Macaca mulatta: one gene and its partners. The protein of the gene in region 1 interacts with the protein of each later gene in a biochemical or structural test. Links are inferred from orthologs where the notes say so. Each region holds a gene or a part of one and is shown on either strand. Other genes may lie near its edges.

The links. The genes of interacting proteins can lie anywhere in the genome.
Region 2: the proteins of UBE2D1 (region 1) and RNF216 form a complex in vitro, tested with the Homo sapiens proteins (2 studies listed by BioGRID). The link is inferred for Macaca mulatta from reciprocal best matches to the Homo sapiens genes UBE2D1 and RNF216.
Region 3: the proteins of UBE2D1 (region 1) and LRSAM1 form a complex in vitro, tested with the Homo sapiens proteins (2 studies listed by BioGRID, with this or other methods). The link is inferred for Macaca mulatta from reciprocal best matches to the Homo sapiens genes UBE2D1 and LRSAM1.
Region 4: the proteins of UBE2D1 (region 1) and RNF114 form a complex in vitro, tested with the Homo sapiens proteins (3 studies listed by BioGRID, with this or other methods). The link is inferred for Macaca mulatta from reciprocal best matches to the Homo sapiens genes UBE2D1 and RNF114.
Region 5: the proteins of UBE2D1 (region 1) and UBE3C form a complex in vitro, tested with the Homo sapiens proteins (8 studies listed by BioGRID). The link is inferred for Macaca mulatta from reciprocal best matches to the Homo sapiens genes UBE2D1 and UBE3C.

What each region holds. Positions count from the first base shown.
Region 1 is NC_133414.1:91,527,775-91,531,873, reverse strand, and holds the start of UBE2D1 (ubiquitin-conjugating enzyme E2 D1), read left to right. Parts: upstream 1-1,291; 5' UTR 1,292-1,494; coding exon 1,495-1,518; intron 1,519-4,099.
Region 2 is NC_133408.1:44,014,589-44,018,854, reverse strand, and holds the start of RNF216 (E3 ubiquitin-protein ligase RNF216), read left to right. Parts: upstream 1-1,463; 5' UTR 1,464-1,587; intron 1,588-4,266.
Region 3 is NC_133420.1:20,261,747-20,265,731, reverse strand, and holds the start of LRSAM1 (E3 ubiquitin-protein ligase LRSAM1), read left to right. Parts: upstream 1-1,182; 5' UTR 1,183-1,345; intron 1,346-1,602; 5' UTR 1,603-1,758; exon of another isoform or gene 1,759-1,809; intron 1,810-1,987; exon of another isoform or gene 1,988-2,105; intron 2,106-3,985. Other genes in the region: RPL12 (large ribosomal subunit protein uL11), read right to left, coding at 401-474, 951-987.
Region 4 is NC_133415.1:102,775,406-102,779,588, forward strand, and holds the start of RNF114 (E3 ubiquitin-protein ligase RNF114), read left to right. Parts: upstream 1-1,380; 5' UTR 1,381-1,394; coding exon 1,395-1,534; intron 1,535-4,183. UniProt on the Homo sapiens protein: E3 ubiquitin-protein ligase that promotes the ubiquitination of various substrates. In turn, participates in the regulation of many biological processes including cell cycle, apoptosis, osteoclastogenesis as well as innate or adaptive immunity.
Region 5 is NC_133408.1:196,597,948-196,601,992, reverse strand, and holds the start of UBE3C (ubiquitin-protein ligase E3C), read right to left. Parts: upstream 2,804-4,045; 5' UTR 2,469-2,803; coding exon 2,403-2,468; intron 2,036-2,402; exon of another isoform or gene 1,795-2,035; coding exon of another isoform or gene 1,753-1,794; intron 1-1,752. UniProt on the Homo sapiens protein: E3 ubiquitin-protein ligase that specifically catalyzes 'Lys-29'- and 'Lys-48'-linked polyubiquitin chains.

The DNA.
Region 1 (4,099 bases):
CCATTAATGAGCACCTAGGTTGACTCCATGTCTTTGCTATTGTGAATAGTACTGATGAACATGTGAGAACATATATCTTTTTGGTGGAATAATTTGTTTTCAGTTGCATATATAACCAGTAATGGGATTGCTGGGTCAAATGGTAGTTTTGTTGTAAGTTCTTTGAGAAATCTCCAAACTGTTTTCCACGATGGCTGAACTAATTTACATTCCCACTAACAGCATATAAATGTTACCTTTTCTCCTCAGCGTCACCAACATCTGTTGATGTTTTCACTTTTTTTTTTTTTCCTTTTTGAGACAGAGTCTTACTCTGTCGCCCAGGCTGGAGAGCAGTGACTCCAACTCAGCTCACTGCAACCTCCGCCTCCCGGGATTAAGCGGTTCTCCTGCCTCAGTCTCCTGAGTAGCTGGGATTACAGGCGCCCACCACCATGCCCAGGTAATTTTTGTATTTTTAGTAGAGATGGGATTTCACCATGTTGGCCAGTCTGGTCTCGAACTCCCAACCTCAGGTAATCTGCCCGCCTCAGCCTCCCAAAGCCCTAGGATTACAGGCGTGAGCCACTGTGCCCGGCCAAGAAGCCAAGTTTTAATGGGTACACAAGTGCCCAGGAATTGGAGAGTGGGGAGTGTGCGTTGACTATTAGTCAGAGACTGTCAATGGAAGGGAAGGAGTCAACGATGGGAGTGAGAGCTCTGAACTCGGTGTTCGAAGCGGGTAATTTATGGGAGGGGCATACCTATGAGCAGACGATGCACTCAGACACGGAAGATCTGTGCATTGGACAGAAGAGACACCTTTTTCCTCTGCAGTAAGAACCAAGGAGGTAAGTAAGGGGTCTGATAGATATGAGTTTGTGCATGTGTGCTGGGTGAGTAATTGAGATAATTCATATATTTGAGAAAAGACAGTGAAATATTTAAAGGTAAATATAATAAAACCAGCTGTGGCACCTATTGGATAAGGAATTACTAACTGATGATTTAGAAATTCCTTTATGTGCGTTAGGAGCTCATTTGTTATCCCCATTTTACAGATGCGCAGCCCCAGGTTCAGTAACTTGCTCTAAATGAGACTGTAGAGACTAACTCCAGCACCCGGCAGCTCTCACCTTAAGCTGCCTGGCTAAGGTCAGCAGCAAGTAACCTGGCAGCGTCTGGGGGCCTGCGGCCGAGGACAGGGCTGGAACTACACTTCCCAGTATGCCAGGCGGGGCGGGGCGCGGCGGGGAGGGCGCAGGCTCCTTCCCAGAAGCAAAAGCGGAAACAAAAGAGTCTCGCCGGCCTCCCCGCCCGCACACTCGCGCACACTCGCGCTCGGGCGCAGACGGAGCAGGGACCGGCGCCCGGAGCGAGCCAGGGAGCGGCGAACCGGGGACCCACCGCGCGGAGCCAGCTGAGCTGCCAGCGAGCCCAACTCGCGAAGACTCACGCCCCCGAGCCCCGCAGCCGACCCCTGCCGGCCGGTGTCCCCACCGCGATCCCTGATCCATGGCGCTGAAGCGGATTCAGAAAGTGAGTGCCGGGGCCGGGCCTGGGGCTGCGGGGCAGCAGGGCAGCGGCGCCTGCCCACGCTGACTCGGCCAGTGGTCCCGAGAGATATGCAGGGAAAGCACGGGATGGAAGGGTGGGCCGGGGTGCGGGCAGGGAGCTGGAGGCTCGGGCCCGGCCAGCGGGCACCGGACAGGTTAGGTGGGAGCGGGGGCAGATCCCAGGCGGCCGGGGGAGCTTGAAGGCTGGGGGCCCGTGGCGCGCTCGCGCCGGGGCCGCTCCCGGAGCCCCAGGGTAGAGAGCCTCCTCCGCGTCCAGACCGCCCCGAAATCTGTGCTTCACGGTCACGGCTGGGTTTTGCCCTCCATGAGGCTAGTTTTGACCCCTGTCATGCTGTGTTTTCTCCAGGCTGTTTCTTAAGCCTGTCTCTTTTATGTTCTTGCTTACCCGGGCTCCCCGGGAGGGCACGGAAGGTGGGGTGGGCCTGCAGCCTTTCTCCGCGGAGCTGTCGGGTTGGTTCTTTCTCCTCTGCGGTTGGCTCTTGCTCAGTTGCCCGAATGGGCTGGAAAGCCCATTTGCGGCCAAGAAGCCAAGAGAAGGCTCCTGCCCCTTCTATTTTGGTGCCTCTGCTGCTGCCACTTCAGGTCACATAGCTGTAGCGAAAACATAGTTGCTGATACACAACAAGATGACCTCCTGGCTGTGATTCACGGTGAGTCAAGCCAAACAGGTTTTTTTTGCCCCTCATGGTAAACTTAGATGTAAAGTTCGAGACACAACATAAACTGTCGCAAATAGATTGTTTTGATGCTTTGACACATGGGTATAAAATGAGGAAGAAATATGTATCTTCATCCAACAACTGTTCACCCATCTCAACCCTGTGTGTGGAATTGTCTTTTTTTCACAGTATTTATTGCCACCATTTCAGAAGCGAACATCCTTCAGAATTGATATTCGGGCATTTCTTTCTGTTCATTTTTATTTCTTGTTGGTCTGTGTACTGACCCAAGTTTTAGGTTTTACAGTTACAGTTCACACTGGGAACATTGAGAATGTGTTTGTTAAATAGGGAGTGCTTTTCACTAAGTTAAGCAACAATGGTCAGTGTATTTTGTAGTTGTTTCAGAAGAAATTAATGCCCACATTTTTATCTACTTTTTTGACCAGTAGTCCATTATAGCAATAGTAAATGTTAGAGCAGTGATAGTGACGTACACATTGTATTCTGACTAGCCACTAGTGGCATCTTTAGGTACAGAGGACAGCAACTTTTAGAGCCTGCCAGTTTTTTATTTTCAAATTCTAAATCTGTTGATCACCTGTTATTTTTTGTCCCATTTAAAGGTCGTCTCATTGTAAAACATACAGTTAACAATCAGCATCAGCATTTATTAAGTTATAATGTTTTCTTGTTTGAAGATAGTTCAGTTACACGTTGTTTTATATAAATATCCTAATTTTGAAGCCTCAGTCGGCCTCTTTACCATAACTTGCATACTTATTAATGACGACGTAATATTGGTTCACATTTGGATCAGAAAATGCACATCTTCCAAGGAAGTTTTCAAATTCTATTTCCTTCTTTCCTAGTTGTGAGAATTTTTCACATGATTTTGCACATACAAGAGCTTTTTAAATTATCACTGTGTTTTTTTAAGAGATGGGGATCTCAGTATGTTGCCCATGCTGGTCTTGAACTCCTGTCCTCCAGAGAGTCTGGGATTACAGGCACAAGTCACCATACCCAACTATAACAATAGCGTTTAAATGCTGTGCAATTTGTCCACAGTAAGTGGATATTCAAAGAAATATGAACATTGTTTGTAAATACCATACTTGGCAGTTCTCGTCAATCACCATGCTGAACTGGTGTATTTGATTTGTATTTATAATGTGTGTGTCCAAATCTTTTCTTTTTAGTATTTATTGGTTATTAGTTTATAGAGTTGTTCAGAAAAAAAAAATTACTTACATGGAATTGATATCAAACATGTGACAAATCGATATTTTGGAGAAGAAATTGGGATCATATACCATCACATCTCTGTGCGTTCATCTTTGGCTTCCCTTTCTGATATCAGGCAAGTTAACTTACACAAGTCTTTCCATTAATCACACATTCAGACCGTTTCCTCAAACCTTAGGGGTGATTATTTTGATTGATTCCCTATTTTTCCTCCTCCTTTATCTACCTCCTTGATTAGAAGCCAATTCTAGGTCAGTTGTGCCGCCTGCCATATGAACAGTTATACCATCTTCTTCTTTGATGTCATCAGTATAGACATTCTTATTTGAATCTTTCATGTTCCAACAAATGAAGATGTATACTAACTTTTGGCCTTTCTTCCTAAGCTCCTATTGAAGTGTTACTATAGTTTTCCTGTACCTAAAGTTGCAGACTGTAGAGCTGTGTGGAACCTCAGATAAGTCTGCCGTAGTGTACTAGAGGGTACCAGCACGGGAACAGCTTCTAGGGTAGTGTCTTAGAATCACCTGAGGGACGTTTTCAGACTGTCGTCACTTCTATAAATGGAGAGGTGTTGAATCCCTCAGATGGGTTGGGGTGGAAAGAAGACTGAGAACCACTGATGTTCTGGCCTGT
Region 2 (4,266 bases), on another chromosome or scaffold:
AGTAGCTGGGACTACAGGTGCACATCACCATGTCCGGCTAATTTTTACTTTTGTAAAGATGGGGTCTCACTCTATTGCCCAGGATGATCTCAAACTCCTGGCTTCAAGCCATCTTCCCACCTCCACTTCCTAAAGTGTTGGGATTACAGTTATAAGCCACTGTGCCCAGCCCAGACTCATTTATCTAATTACTGACTTGACATCTCTACTTGAAGGTGTACTTAGCAATTGTTTTTTGTTTTTTGATTTTTGTTTTTGAGACACAGTCTCACTCTGTTGCCCAGCCTGGAGTGCAGTGGCATGATCTTGGCTCACTGCAACCTCCCCCTCCTGGGTTCAAGCAATTCTTGTGCCTCAGCCTCCCTAGTAGCTGGGATTACAGGCATGCACCACCATGCCCAGCTAATTTTTGTATTTTTAGTAGAGACGGGTTTCACCATGTTGGCCAGACCGGTCTCGAACTCCTGACCTCAAGTGATCTGTCTGCCTCGGCCTCCCAAAGTGCTGGGATTACAGGCGTGAGCCACTGCGCCCGGCCAGCAATTATTTTAAGAGTAGGGATCTTGCTATGTTGCCAAGGCTGGTCTTGAGCTCCTGGCCTCAAGCAATGCTCCCGCCTTGGCCTCCTAAAGCGCTGGGATTATAGACATGAGCCCCTGTGCCCAGCAGGAGCAGTTTTTTAGTCAGTTATTCACTTGCCCACTAAAACCTAAACTTCCTGAGGCCAGGAACACATTGTACTTTTTTTTTTTTTTTTTTTTCTCTGAGATGGAGTGCAGCTCTGTTGCCCAGGCTGGAGTGCAGTGGCGCCATCTTGGCTCACTACAGTCGCTGCCTCCCAGGTTCAAGCGATTTTCCTGCCTCAGCCTCCTGCGTAGCTGGGATTACAGGCATCCGCCACCACACCCGGTTAATTTTTTTATTTTTGGTAGTGACGGGGTTTCACCACGTTGGCCAGGCTAGTCTCCAACGTCTGACCTCAAGTTATCCGCCCGCCTCGGCCTCCCAAAGTGATGGGATTACAGGCGTGAGCCACTGTGCCCAGCCACGGGACCCACTTTACTCTTAATTTCCCCAAATCCTAGAACAGTGCGTGGCCCACAGGAAATCCACAGAATATATCTGCAGAATGAATGAATGGCTTGCCAAAAGAATTAGGGCAAATAAGTAGATATCGAGTAAACGTCCACAACCACCTACCCCATACCCTTTTAAGCTCTAGGGAGATGGCGGCTCCTGTGGGGTCCGGGATGGGGGTCTCCGTTCCTTTCATCCTTCCGCCTCGTGGGGGAGTCAAGTCTCCGCAGGCGGAGAGCCCGGATGCAGGCGCGGCTAGGCGGCCCTCTCTGTGGTGAGCCCCCGGGTCCCTCCTCCACAGCACCCGGAGTGCCTCTATGGTTCTTCCTGTCCTTAGTCGGGAGGGGGCGCTGTGCGCAGGCGCGAGGTGACGCCGCGGCAGGACCGGAAGGAGTGTAGCGGCTGCCTCAGCGGCAGCGACGGAGCTCGCAGCTGTGGCTTCTGAAGAGTAGGCGGCGCGGTACCGAAGGCCGCCGAACCCGCCTGGCTAGCCGGCGAGTTGCGTGGCGAGTGAGTGTCGGTCGCGGGGCGCGCTTGAGCTCCTGGGCGGGTCTGTGAGGCGAGGCGGCCTCTCTGCGGGACGCCTCCGTGGAGCTCCGGGGGTGGGGGCGGGGGCGCGGGCCGTGAGGGCCGCCGAGCTGAGGGGCGCGGGCCGAGGCCCGGGCGGGATCGGGCCAAAGGACTGGGCTGGGCGTCTCGAGCCCCGTGCGGAGGCGAGGCGGGAGCGACAAAGGCGCTGAGCGACTGGGCGACCCCCTCCCGCCTCTTCGCGAAGTTTCGCGGGCCGGCCCTTTGGGTCAGCTGCGCGAGGGCGATAGCCCGGGAGACCGCGCTTCCCTCCCCCGGGCCCGAGGTCGCCGCGGAGGCGGGGTCCGTGCACCCGAGCGCGGCCTGGAGAAGCGGCGGGAGGCGGCCGGTCCCTGTGAACCCCAGCCCAGGCGGGCGGCGTTTTTCCACCTCTCCCCTCACATCTGGAGCGGGTGTTGTTCCGCGAAAGTTGGCGACTGTCACCGGGCACTCGCGAGGGCGCCGCAAGTGCGTCAAACCCTTCTGCGGGGCGCTGGGGGCTGGCCCGGCTCGGGTGCCCGGGCGCTGGGCAGGGAGCGAGGCCGCTGTCCCCGCGTCGAGGTGGCCCGGCTCCCGGTGTAACGGGACCCAGGGATCCAAGACTTTGGGCCACTTGCAACCAATCCGGGAGCGTGCGCGGCGTGCGGGTTACAGAAATTTCTGACAAATCTGCCAGGGCTCTGTGCGTCCCTGAGGGCCTGGTTAGCAGTTGTCCCCGGTACTTCGATCGTGCAAAAAGAACGTTCTTTTTTCTGTTCTTTTTTTTTTTTTTTTTTTTTTTTGAGACGAAGTCTTGCTCTGTTGCCCAGGCTGGAGTGCAGTGACGCGATCTCTGCTCACTGCAACCTCCGCCTCCCTGCGTCAAGGAATTCTGCCTCAGCCTCACAGGGATTGCTTCAGCTGGGATTCCAGGCATGTGCCACCACACCTGGCTAATTTTTGTATTTGTAGTAGAGACAGGATTTCACCATGTTGGCCAGGCTGGTCTCGAACTTCTGACCTCAGGTGATCCCTTCTTTGGCCTCCCAAAGTGCTACATAGTCTTTTCAAAAAACGTGTCAGCTGTGTTCTCCCTGGGCCCTTGGGCCCTTCAGTAAGAAGCGCCCTGGCTGAAAACCCACACGTTTACCTACAGAGGAAGCACTGTGATGTAAGGGTGAGCAGGGCAGAGGGCCTCACCGTGGCCCTCACACACACCTGGCTCCAGCTTGGCCAGGCCATTTTGCGCTCGTGGGCCTGTGCCTCACCTCAAAAATGGGGTTTCTTCCCTTATGAAGAAGACCCATGAATTAATAATGGAATTTCCAGGAATGCTAAAAACTAAGTTTGGTGTATTGTTTTCAAGCTGTTACTCCTGGAAGGGGCTGGGTTGGCATTGTTTTAGAGGTTAGGAGCCAAACATAGCTCATCTATTCTCCAGCTGTTTTTAATCCTCCAGCTTCCTGCAATAGTCAGGCACAAGGTCTTAGAAAAATGGGTTTGTGCTGCTGTATGTTTTGGTGGGCAATAGGAACACTAATATGTATCACCTTTGTTTACTGAATGGGATGCAGGTGGGGGACCAGAGCACATCCGCGTCCCTCGGAAATGGTGGCGTTTAAATGTAATATGTCTCTTCAGTTCCTCTCTGCCCCACCCACCCCAGCCCATTGATTGAGCTTTTTTTTTGGGGGGGGGGGGGAGACGGAGTCTGGCTCTGTTCAGGCTAAAGTGCAGTGGTGTGATCTCTGCCCACTGCAACCTCCACCTCTCAGGTTCGAGTGATTCTCCTGCCTCAGCGTCCCGAGTAGCTGGGATTACAGGCGTGCGCCACTACGGCCGTCCAAGTTTTTTTTTTTTTTTTTGAGACGGAGTCTCGCTCTGTCGCCCAGGCTGGAGTGCAATGGCCGGATCTCGGCTCACTGCAAGCTCCGCCTCCCGGGTTCACGCCATTCTCCTGCCTCAGACTCCCGAGTAGCTGGGACTACAGGCGCCCGCCACCTCGTCGGGCTAGTTTTTTGTTTTTTTTTTTGTTTTGTTTTGTTTTGTTTTGTTTTTTGAGACGGAGTCTTGCTTTGTCACCCAGGCTAGAGTGCAGTGGCCGGATCTCAGCTCACTGCAAGCTCCGCCTCCCAGGTTCACGCCATTCTCCTGGCTCAGCCTCCCGCGTAGCTGGGACTACAGGCGCCTGCCACCTCGCCCGGCTAGTTTTTTGTGTTTTTAGTAGAGACGGCGTTTCACCATGTTAGCCAGGATGGTCTCGATCTCCTGACCTCGTGATCCGCCCGTCTCGGCCTCCCAAAGTGCTGGGATTACAGGCTTGAGCCACCGCGCCCGGCCTGTTTTTTGTATTTTTTAGTAGAGACGGGGTTTCACCGTGTTAGCCACGATGGTCTCGATCTCCTGACCTCGTGATCCGCCCGTCTCGGCCTCCCAAAGTGCTGGCTTGAGCCACGGCGCCCGGCCTTTTTTTTTTTTTTTTTTTTTTTTTTAAGAGACGGAGTCTGGCTCTGCTGCCCAACTCCTGGGTTTAAGTGACCTTCGGCCTCCCAAAGCGCAAGAATTACAGGCTTGAGCCACCGTGCTCTTGCAGAACATTCTTTACACGCTGAGAAGGGAGAGAGGAACGGGAAGATTTTATGA
Region 3 (3,985 bases), on another chromosome or scaffold:
GTTTACATCCACAACACAGCTGTTAACACTCACTGGATCTTCACCCACACCCCATTTAATCTTCCCAACAATGCCATGCCCACTTCCCTGACGAGGAAATACAGATATTGGCTGCCCAATGTCACTAAGCCACTCCTAACTTCAAAACCCCCTTGGGCCCACCCCTCAGGTGCCCCAAAGCAACAGTGGAGACACATGGAGCTAATTACAATTTAAAGGCACCGGGTTCGATGTTTCACGCACGACCTTCCTAAGGTACCTAGTACTAGTCAGTGGCTCAGGCCTAGTGAGGGTGACAATCCAAGCCACGAGGGCACCTCTGGCACAGTCGTGACTCCACGAGCCGGCGCTTAACTCTGCTCTGTAAGTGAAAACAAGCCCCTTGGCGGGGATGACGTACCAGACCCAGGGGGCCGATCTTGGGGGCCAGCGCAGAAGTGGCACCGACTTCACCTCCGGTGCACCTCAGGTATACTGGAGGAAAAGAAGGGTTAGGGTCTCTGCAGAGGGAGCCCCCGAGCCACAGCCCTCTCAGCGTCTTTCCGGGGCTGGACACATCACCCTCTGCCTCTTCTCGAAACAGCACCGAGCGTGAGGCCGGCCACCCGCTCCTCCCTCGGGCGTGGGCAGCTCCGAACCTCACACCGCGGAGGCGTGGAGAGAGCCCCGTCGCCCGCGAACCCAGGCCAGTGGGTCCAAACGCCCGAAGACAAGCCTTACCCTAGGGCCTGCGGGCTCCCAAGCCGCCACAGGTGGTTCGGTCCTCCCTCCCCACCTACACGTGGAGAAGCTAAGGCCTAGAAAGACTGAGGCTTGGCCAGGACGGTGCAGCACCGGGAAGGCCTCTAGGAGGCAGCGGCTTTAAGAGCCCCATATTAGAAAGCTTTGCACGCGCGGCGGGGCCGAGGGATGCTCCATCCCGCAGCCCCGGCCACAACGAGAGCACGCACCGACTTTGATCTCGTTGGGGTCGAACTTCGGCGGCATGGTGGAGGCGGCTGGTGTCGGATGAACCCGGATTCGGGACGACCGAAGAAGGCTGCACCTTCGCCCCCTCCGAGCCGAACGCCGAGAGGCCGGAAATCGCGCGGACGACGCCGGATATAGGGAGGAAAACGCGGTTATCGCGAGAACTGTCGTCACTGCCCAGCCTTCCAGAGACGCTTTTTTGTCGCCATGTTTGTTGTGGGCAGGCGCCTGAGGCTGACGGCTTGCGAGCTGGGCACCGCGATGCGCTGAAGGTAGAGATTCCGAAAGGGAGATCGGGCAGTTCGCTCTGGAGACGTCTGAGAAGAGGGGTTGCTCCCGTGATCCCAGGCCTGGCTGTTTCCCATACTCCTTTATCGTGAGTGTCACCCCGGTCCCCAACACCCAATCCCAGAGCCCCGCCCCTCCCCTGAGGGGTCCGTTGTCCCATTCCGAGACCCCAGTACCGCAGCGACCCCTGCCCCCTCCAGCACTTGGTGTGTGCACTTTAGTTATCAAAACAGTCTATGTGGAAATCCAGTCCCGCTTTTCATTCTGAGAGTCCGCGGTTCCTAGAGCCTCAGACTTCGTCATCCCGGTCTGCGTGACTTTCTGAGATTCTGAGTTTGTCCCCAGCACCTGCGTTTGAAGGAGACCAGACTCCGGCTCCGCCCGGCCCGTGCCGGGTGGTCTGCGGCCCCGAGTCCGTGACCAAGCCCTCCGAGTGATCAGCCTGCCCTCGGGTGCACCCGCGGTTCCCAACGTGGGGGACCCCTCCATCCGTAAAGCCAGGTCAGCCACTGCCCACCCCACCCCAGGAAATATGGATGTGGCCCTCCCCCCGCATCTAGGCTGGACGTCGGAAAGGGAGGGACAGGCATGTGGGGCAGCCTGGAAAGAGCTGATCTTCTGGGAGGGGTGGGAGAGCGATGGTGGTTGGGAGGAAGTCGGGGGGAGGGCTGCACATCGGGAAGGGAGTGATGGGAGAGGGCTGTTTTCAAACCATTCCCCATCCTTGCAGGCAGGTGGAGTGACAAGAAGGTCTTGAGCTGGCTCTGCAGGCCTGGCTGCCTCCCCAGACAGCCCCGCCCCTGTGGGTGCAGAGCTGCCATCTCTGCCCATCCCTCTGAGGACTGGGTGTATGTCTTCTTCAGCTGCATCTCCTCCCAGGGCTGTCTTCTCCCTAGCTCCTCTAGTGGGCCCTGAATCAATGCTGCTTGCATGTGGGTGCTTTGTGGCTCACATTTATTGAGCACTCGTGTGCCAGGTCCTGTATTATGCGCTTGACATATATGAAGTCATTGGATCCTCACAGAAGCCAGTGTTGATAGCATGGTTACTTAAACTTTACAGATGAGGAAACTGAGGCTCTGAGAGGTGAACCAAGGTGACCTCAGCGGTCGTGGGTGGCAGATCTCGGATTCAAATCCAGTTCTCTTTCATCCCAAAGCCTGTGCTGCTCACCATGCACTTCCCTGGGTGATTGCTTCCTGGCTCATTGCCATCCCTTATCCTGCTCTGATATTTACAGACACTGTGCAGGCCCTGGGCAGGCAGTGAGCACCTGGCTCTGAGTTCAGGACAGTGTACTTCGTGTGTGCCAAGTTATGTGAGCACCAAGGAGTCGGGCAAATCCCACAGGTCAGGACTTGAGAGACCACGGTTCCAGGCTGCAATCCAGGCTGTACAGCCAGGCCACTGAACTTAATAAGCATCTGTTTCTTCACTTTACTTATTTATTTATTTATTTATTTATTTATTTATTATTTTCTGAGACAGAGTCTCCCTCTGTCACCCAGGCTGGAGTGCAGTGGCGTGATCTCGGCTCACTGCAACCTCCGCCTCCTGGGTTCAAGTGATTCTCGTGCCTCGGCCTTCCAAGTAGCTGGGACTACAGGCGCACGTCACCACGCCCAGCTACTTTGTGTATTTTTAGTAGAGACGGGGTTTCACCATGTTACCCAGGCTGGTCTCGAACTCCTAGGCTCAAGTGACCCACCCGTCTTGGCCTCCCAAAGAGCTGGGATTACAGGCATGAGCCACCACACCCGGCCTGTTTCTTCACTTTAAATAGGGATATGGTGAGAATAAAATGGAATAATAACTGAGGGTGGTAAGCTGAGGATTGCTTTTTAATTTGTATTCACCTCAGAGGTCTCTTTGATCATGATGTAGTTGAGCTCCCCAAGGTCCTGGCTGGCTCTAGTTTGTTCCTGCTGATCCCGCTCTGACAGTCTAGGGGGCTGGAAGTGATTCATTGGCAGAGTCTGTTAGAGTCCCCAAAGAACAGCCTTGGAAAGCGCCTGAGGAAACTTCTCTAAGTTTCCCCAGAACAGGAAAAGGATAATGCCAAGACCTCACTATGGGTTGGTGGCAAATATGGGCCCCAACCCAGGTCATCTGGCTTGTCTTTGTCTCCACCTCATCCTGCTGCTTAATGTTTAGTCAACAAAGAACAAGGAGTACTGAGCACCTGTTGTGGGCTCAGGACACTGACAGAAGGACTAGAAAGACGCATCCCCTGACCCCATGGAACTCACTAGAAAGATGCAACCCCTGACCCCATGGAACTCACTAGAAAGATGCAACCGCTGACCCCATGGAACTCACTAGAAAGATGCAGCCCCTGACCCCATGGAACTCACTAGAAAGACGTGGCCCCTGCCCCCATGGAACTCCGTGGAACTAGGAAGATGCAGTCCCTGGCTCCATGGAACTCATTAGGAAGACAGCCCCTGGCCCCATGGAAATCACTAGAAAGACGCAGCCCCTGCCTCCATGGAACCAGTACTAGAAAGACGCAGCCCCTGGCCCCATGGAACTTGCTAGATAGATGTGACTCCTGACCCCAGTGAACTCACTAGAAAGACATGGCCCCTGCCTCCATGAAACTCACTAGAAAGACACAGCCCCTGCGCCCATGGAATTCACTAGAAAGACGCAGCCCCTGCGCCCATGGAACTCATTAGAAAGATGTGACCCCTGACCCCATGGAACTCACTAGAAAGACACGGCCCCG
Region 4 (4,183 bases), on another chromosome or scaffold:
ATAAATAAATAAAATAAATAAAGAGAGAAAATATTGAGAAACAAATGAAAACAAAAACACAGCATGCCAAAATTTACTGGACACAGTGAAAGCAGTGCTCAGGGGAAATTTTATAGCTATAAGTGCTTCAAAAGCATAGACAAAATTGCCAGGGTCTGGGGTTATGGGGATGGGAGGAGGGAACAGGAAGTTATGGTTTAATGGGGACAGAGTTTCAGTTTCAGTTTAGCAAGACGACCAGAATTCTAGAGATAGCTGATGGTGATTATTGCACAATTTGAAAGGAATGTGCTTTATTGTTGGGGTTTTTTTTTTTTTTTTTTTTCAGATGGAGTTTTGTTCTTGTTGCCTAGGCTGAAGTTCAGTGACTGTTGGAGTGAGTGAACGATCTTGGCCCACGGCAACCTCCGCCTCCCAGGTGAAAGGCTTCTCCTGCCTCAGCTTCCTGAGTAGCTGAGGCTACAGGCATGGGCAACCACGCCTGGCTAATTTTTGTATTGTTAGTAAAGACAGGGTTTCACCTTGTCGGTCAGGCTGCTCTCGTATTCCTAGGCTCAAGCGATCCGCCCGTCTCGGCCTCACAAAGTGCTGGGATTACAGACGTAAGCCACCGTACCCAGCTCCTTTGCATAAATAAATGATATTGACTTTCTTCTTGCAGCTCAGGAATTAGATGTTATTAAATTTGCTTAAATTTAAGAAATGGCTGGGTACGGTGGTTCACCGCTGTAATCCCAGCACTTCGGGTTGCTGAGGCAGGCGGATCGCTTGCGTCCAAGAGTTGGAGGCCAGCCTCGGCAACAGTGAGACCCGCCCGCTCTCGGCATCGCCCCTTCCCCACCTCCTTTCCCCATCTCTACAAAAAAAAAACCAAAAATAAATAAATTAGTCCGGCATAGTGGTGACTGCCTGTGGTCCAGCTACGCAGGAGGCTGAGGTGGGAGGATCGCTTGAACCCTGGAGGTCGAGGCCGCAGGGAGCCATGATCGCTCCACTGAACACCAGCCTGGGCGACAAAACAAGACCTTTTCCCAAAATAGATTAAATAAATAAATAAATAAATTTAAGGAAAAAGCAATTTGATTCGAAGATAAATAGTGATAAGTGCAAGTGGTGCCGAACTAACGACTTAAATTTGGAAAACAGCGGCCCACGCGCAGAGCCCGTCCCAATTCTGGCAGCCTTTGGATCTGGCTTCCACGTTTTCCAGATTTCCCTCGGCCTCCAGCTCGCTTGGGTCAGAGGGGCCCCAGGGGCCGCGAGGGGCCGCCCACCCACGAGCCCCGCCCCCAACCGCTCACCTCCCCGCGAGCCCCGCCCCCTCCGGCCGCGAGCCCCGCCCCCTTGGCCTACTCCTCATCGGCCGCCGTTGCGCGGCGCAGAGCGGCAGCAAGATGGCGGCGCAACAGCAAGACGGCGGGGGAGCTGCGCAGCTGGCGGGGCCGGCGGCGGAGGCTGATCCCCTAGGCCGCTTCACGTGTCCCGTGTGCTTAGAGGTGTACGAGAAGCCGGTACAGGTGCCCTGCGGACACGTGTAAGCGGCGAGCCCGGGCCTGGTCGGGAGGCACTTAACTGACTGGGAAGGAAATGGAGCCGAGGAGCGAGATGCGTCTCAGGGCGGGAGCCAGAGGACCCACCCAGAGGGGCCTCCCGGGGGTGTCCCCCGGGGCTCCTAAGGGCCGTGAAAGCTGCCGGGGCGCTCTTCTGTCCCGCCCCGCTTACTTCTAAGTATCCCGTCCCTCCGCCCGTCTTAGCGGGGCAGCTGCTGTCCGTTGAGCGCCTGCAATGTTCCAGGCGGCCTGTCAGTCTCCTTCCCACACGTGATAGTGGACTCGTGCCCTGCGGGGACTTTAGGCTCGGAAGTCCGCCCTTGGAGAGCCGACGTTTCCTTTCTAGACCGCGTCGCTCTTAAAGCATAGGACATTTGGCATTGAGTCTAGCTGTGGCGAGTTATTCTAATACGAACCAAAGTTGGGAGAAACGCTGGACTAGACTAAAACAACAAAAGGGAAGTCTTTATGGGGATCTGGCCAGTTTGCCCTTAGCTGTGAAAGGGGGTGGGAGTTGGCAGATGGGATTGTTAGCATTCTACTTCCTGTGTAGGAGGTTTGTTTCTTTCAGTTTTCAATTAAGCCTTTATGACCTGAATACTGTGAATAGACTGGTTATAATGATTAAAGCAGATATGTGTAAAGATGTCCAGTCCTGGGCTGTGGCCGGGGCTTTCGAGGTTGGTCGATTTGAATCTAAGCCTTGTTCCGTCAGACGCACAGACACACCTGAGTTGAAAGAATTGTAGACAACGTGGCCACCTGCTTCTTGCCTCAGAATTGGCTTTTCCTCTCGTCTCTCTCAGTGCTTACTGTGGGATCACCTTGGCATTGGTCTTGGCACCCCTTCACTAGTCAGCAGACACAGTAGCCATTGCACTCCATGGGCATTATTCTATAGCCACCCTGCAGCGGGGGAGGGTTGGCAGCCATTTTACAGGTGAATACACCGAGGGTCCGACGCTTGCCTGTCGAAGGGTCGCCGTGGCCTAACTCTTCCCAGATATACTGCAGGTGACCGTTTTAATAGTCTAGAGAACAGTGCTTGGCACCTAACTGGCTGCTTTTTGCCTCATCATGTAGCTTTAGGCTATTCCTCTTTGCAATTCAGTTAGCCTGGAACTCCTCCCCAACCCCCCCCCCCCCCCCCCCCGCTTCGGGCTTCAAGTCCCTGGTTAGTTTACCTCATCAAACACCCATCCCCATCTAAATTACTTCCCCCACTTCCTTTCTGGGACTTAACTTCCTTCTCCTTGCTTGCACAGAGCAAAACTTACAGCTCATGATGGAGTGGCCATATCTTTTTTGCCCCTCAACTGACTGGAATGGCCTCTATGTGCCAGATCTTGGGGTAGACTCTGCCTTCAGAGTTTACAAATCAGTACCAATGACTCGTCAAACTATTGTAAAAATTCATTCTGCAAGTGGGAGGGTATTTCAGGGATCACACCTCTGTGCGTGGGGTGAATGATCAGGTAATGGTTGAATGAACTAATAAGTCGTGTAAGCAAGCTTCATGAGAGTTGAAGTGGTCTTTAGCTTTTTCATTGAATCCGCTTATCCTTGGATCAGGTTTACCTGATTTTGGATTAATTCAGTGGATTTCATTTACTATTAACATTTGTAAAAAGGCTAGACCCAGCACAGTTTGCTAAATGAAGAGCAGCAAAATTTGAGATTTTCTTGAGCTGGGTGAACCTTTCCTAGGTCAGAGGGCAAGGAACTACTGGTATTCAAACCTTGGCTCTTCTCTATCCTATCCTCGCTGTCCTAGCCCCACGTGCTCAGCAGTTCAGTGCAAATTGAAGACAGATGGAAGCACCTCTGTGAGGGCAGCCTGAGTCCCCCTTAGCTCCAACCGAATGCTTTCTCCTGTGCCTACTTGATTTTTACCTTTTGTGCTTGGAAAGTTGAGCATCACTACAACTCTGGCTGGGGCACTGGATTTTTATAAAACTTTATTTCAAGCCCTGAATGACTGCGTTCTCCAATCCAGTAGAATACAGCTGGAGAAAGGCAGCTGGCTGGGTGCCCAAGAGAGGAGAATTTCTTCCTAGCACTGTGACAGAGTGGAGCGTCAGAAGGCTGAACTAGGAAAGGGCCCATAAATAGGAAATAGAAACTGAAAAGCCAGCCCAGGATATTTGAGCAGTTCAAAAGCAGTCTGGTAGTTTGGGTATGTCTCAGGCACAAAGTGACTCATGAACATTTGATAGATGAGCTGAACCTGTGTGTGTGCTTGCAAAGAGACTTCGAGCTGCTTTTATCTGCATGCTGGGTTTGGTTGCATTATACTCACTGGACCCTCTGTGCTCTCTTGGGTTCCTGTTGTCATCTGCATTTGTGAACAGGCAACAGAAGTGATGGCCACAGGCCCTGCCTGTGTCTACTGCCTTATCGCTTGCCCTTCTCACCATGGTCTACCGCATTGTGGCCCCCAAGGTCTGCCTGCCTGCCTTTCCAGTCCTCATTTGTGTGTGGCATCATCTTGGTGTGGAGCTCTGCACCCAGATCTGTGTGGCTGTCCTCGTAATCAGGTCCCACCCAGCTCAAATGCCAACTCCTCAGAAGCAGCTTTCTGTGATCCCTCCAGCTGGTCTGTTTGCCATATTTCCTTCATATATTTAATCACT
Region 5 (4,045 bases), on another chromosome or scaffold:
CCTCTAAGACAGAAGCCAAGCCAAACAAGCCAGGCACAAAGGACAAGCGGCAAGTGGCTCCATGACCCTGAAGTTCAACAGGTAACGCTAATCTACAGTAACGGAGGTCAGGAGGACAGTCACCTTTGTGGGGCTGGAATACAGACATACCCGGCATAATGACCTTTCAGTCTGTCAACAACAGACCACATAAACACCGTGGTACCATAAGATTATAATTTGTATTTTTACTGTATCTATGTTTGGATGCACAAATATTCACCACTGCATTAAGAGTTGCCTACAGTATTCAGTACAGAAACACGCTGTCCAGGAGGGTAGCACAGGAGCAACTGGCTGTACCAAGCCGCTAGGTGTGTAGTGGGCAACACCAGCTAGGTGTGTGTTAAGTGCACTCTGATGGTCCCACAACAACCAATTGGCCTAGTGACAGTGTCCCCCTCTTTAAGTCACACATGACTGTAATTAAAGGGTGAGAGTGCAAGGGAGCCTCTGGAATGCTGGGAATGGTCTTCCTTTGATGTGAGTGGTATTCCCTCTACAGGAGAGTGTCCATATGCAAAAATCCTTCAAGCTGTACATACAGCTGGGTCCCCACCCAGATTCCTTAACCAGGCCAGGGCACCCATGCCCCAGCTGCTGCCAGTTGCTACTAAGGGCTCTTTACTGCCACTCTCTCCCAGAAGAATGGCCCTCGGCTCAGGGTCAGCAGTGCAACACTCCCACCCTCATCCCGGGGCGGGGGGGAACCTACAGCCACCAGCCCCTCTGCAGCAATTAGGGCCAACTGTGGCAAGCTCCTGGTGAGATGGGGCTAAAGCTAGCCTCCAGCTGAGACGCCCTTCCTCTTCAATTTCACTTGCACAAGGATCTCCTTAGCGCTTGTGAAGCTGACTGTATCTTACCTTATACCCCAATAAAAAGTGTTTTGTTTTTAAAGGGGTGATTGTTTCACACAGCTCAGGGTATCTTCCTTTGAGATTCTGATCAACAGATAAGAAACCTCACTCCCTCAGAGCAGAGATGCACTCCTTGGTGAAAACGGACCAACAACCATGGCCCGTGGGGTGTTCATGCCCGCAACAGAGGCCGCGCCGCGCTATGAAAATGGCATGGAGTCTCAGGTGGTCTGCCACTAGCTTGCTGTGTGAATGTGCACTCGTTCAAATGCTCTGCAGCTCACCTTCCCAACTTGTAAGCAAGGAAATTTGGTCCAGAGATTCTCGGAAGTCTCTTCTAACCGGAGAAATCCTTTGATCTCTTAAGAAATTTTCATTAACGTGGAAGCCCCTAGGTGCTACCACGCCCACCCTGTAACCGCACAGTACTTAGTTGTGGAGCACAGCGACTTGCAAGCAATCACCATCACACAAACCTCAAAGCTTAAAAAGGATCGGCACACTTCTCTCCCAACTCTTGACCCAGGTTCCCTTCTACCCTCAGAAACTACCAAACACAGCACCATGGCACAATCTTAACAGCAGTTCCTCCTTGGCCTGCCAGCATCCACTCCGCGTTACGTGCCTACCTGGTGGTTGTGATATACAGAATATACTGACAAACAACAAAAACTAGGTGAAGCAATTTAAAGAATATTTCAGAAATGATGGGAAGGGGTGGGAAGGGAGGGGCGGGAGCAAGACCACACAGCATTCAAAGACTTAGCGGTTCCAGTGAACCAACCGATGCCCGTCTTCAGGGACAGACAGCTGGAAATTCTAGACTAGAACAGAGGCGTCATGGTTTGCCTACCCTTATTCTAAACAATGACCATGCGAACAACTTATGGCCCATCACAACAGATACAAGTCCGGAGTCTCTCCACAGTTTCCGGGAGGCTGGTAGCGAATAATTGCCCTGGTCTTGGATTCAAACACGTGGCTATTCATGAGGCGTTCTGCTTCCACTTCAGAGATTATCGACATCAGCAAATGCGCGCCGTTCACCTTCTACAACCGAAAACGCCCTTCAGGTGGCATTCGAAAAGCAGCCACTCCCTGATGCCATGCGGGAGCGAGCACGGAAAGCCCCATTTCTGAAAGCAAACACCCAGAAAGGGTAAGTTCACCTTGGGTGGCACAAAGCATGCCAGGGTTCCCCGGCCGCCTGCATGGAAGGGAGCCACGGCCAGCGCGCCCGGGTCCCGAAGCACAGCGGACAGGCAAGGCCCCCACGGGCGCGGCCTCCAGTTCCAGCCAGGGAGGCCCCGAGTCCAGCCCTAAGTCCTAGGCAGAGTCCTGGCCCCAAGTCTCGGCCCCGAATCCAACCCCGAGTCCTTGCCGGGGCTGACCCGAGATCCGGCGAGGAAGCCCCGAGTCCCGGCCAGGGAGGCCCCGAGTCCAGCCCCGAGCCCCGGCCGCGCAGGTCCCGAGCCGAAGGAGCCCCGCCAACCCGGGCCTCACCTTCCTGCTCGCGCCGCCAAGAGACACCTTGGGCCGCGTCTTGAAGTCGCCTTCGAAGCTGAACATCCTGGCAGCCTAGCCCATGTGCGGACGGCGCCGCCGCGGAAGCAGCCGGGCGGGCGGGGCACGGGGCGGGCTGGGAGGCTCTCGGCGCCCGCCCGCCCGGCCCAGGGCAGCGAGGACGCGGCGGCCGGGAGGCGACCCGAGCCCGCCCCCGGGCTGTACCCTCCCAGCCCTGCCCTGGGGCGGGAGGGGCGGCAACACTGGAGGGGCGGCCCTGCCTCGCCTGCCCCTCATCCACGCCGGCCACTGCTCCGGCCGCTGCAGGGGCGCCCAGCGGGCAGCAAACCCGGCGCTTGCACCTGGAACTGCCGCCTCGGGAGGGAAGATGGCGGTCAGCCGTCACTGCGTGCGCGGCCCTGCAGACGTGCGCGCCTCCGCCATCGACGGCACGGCGCTCTTCCCGGCGGCTCCGCCAGCGTGCGCGGCCCCGCAAGGCGCGCTGGAGCCTGGGGAGGAGGGCGGTGACCTGGGCACGCGGCGGAGTGGGCGGGGCCTGGTGCGTGCGGGGGGCGCGGCGGGGGGCGCGGCGGGGGGCGCGGCGGGGGGCGCGGCGGGGGGCGCGGCGGGGGGCGCGGCGGGGGGCGCGGCGGGGGGCGCGGCGGGGGGCGCGGCGGGGGGCGCGGCGGGGGGCGCGGCGGGGGGCGCGGCGGGGGGAGGGAGGTTTTGGGTGCGGGGCGGGATGCAGGGAAGGCGGAGTGCGAGGCGTGGGCCGGGGTGGGGTGCACGGCAGGGTGCGTGGTGCAGGGTGGGGTGCAGGGGTCGGCACCCGGAGCGGCCAATCTGGTGCCAGACTCGAGTGAGTGAGGCGGGAAAGGAGCAGCTAGGCCCAGCCCGTCTGTTTACACCCCACCTGTTCTATGTCTATGACACGCACAGACGGACGTAAATATTTACCATGTACACAGACATGCGCAGATTTGCCTCATACATACACAGCACACATATGCATCAATATACACACACAGCATCAATACATATCAATATGTATCATGTACACATACCTGTGTATGCATAAATATGCTCCTGGACTTACCATGGGGCTTTGTCCTGATAAACCCATCGTAAGATGAAAATATTGTAAGTTGCAAATGTATTTAATACTACAATAAACCCATCACAAAGTCAGAAAATTGTGAGTTGAGCCATTTTAAGTTGGGAACCACCTATACATAAACATGTGTCTTGTTATACGTATACATAAATAATCTCTCATATACATGTGCATATACATATATATCATACACGATTGAAGCCAATTTCTAAAAATTGATTTTTGGTTGTATACAAGGTATGCAACAGATTTCATAGACACATTGTGAAATGACTACCCTCTTTGTGTTTGTTTGTGAGGGTAAAATCTACTCTTGGCAAAATTTCAACACACAGTATGATACCATCTACAGTCCTCCTGCGGCTGAGCACGGTGGCTCACGTCGGTAATCCCAGCACTCTGGTAGGCCAAGGCGGGTGGATCACCTGAGGTCAGAAGTTCGAGACCAGTCTCGCTAACATGGTGAAACCCCATCTCTACCAAAAATACAAAAATTAGGCCAGCGTGGTGGTGCGCACCTGTAGTCCAA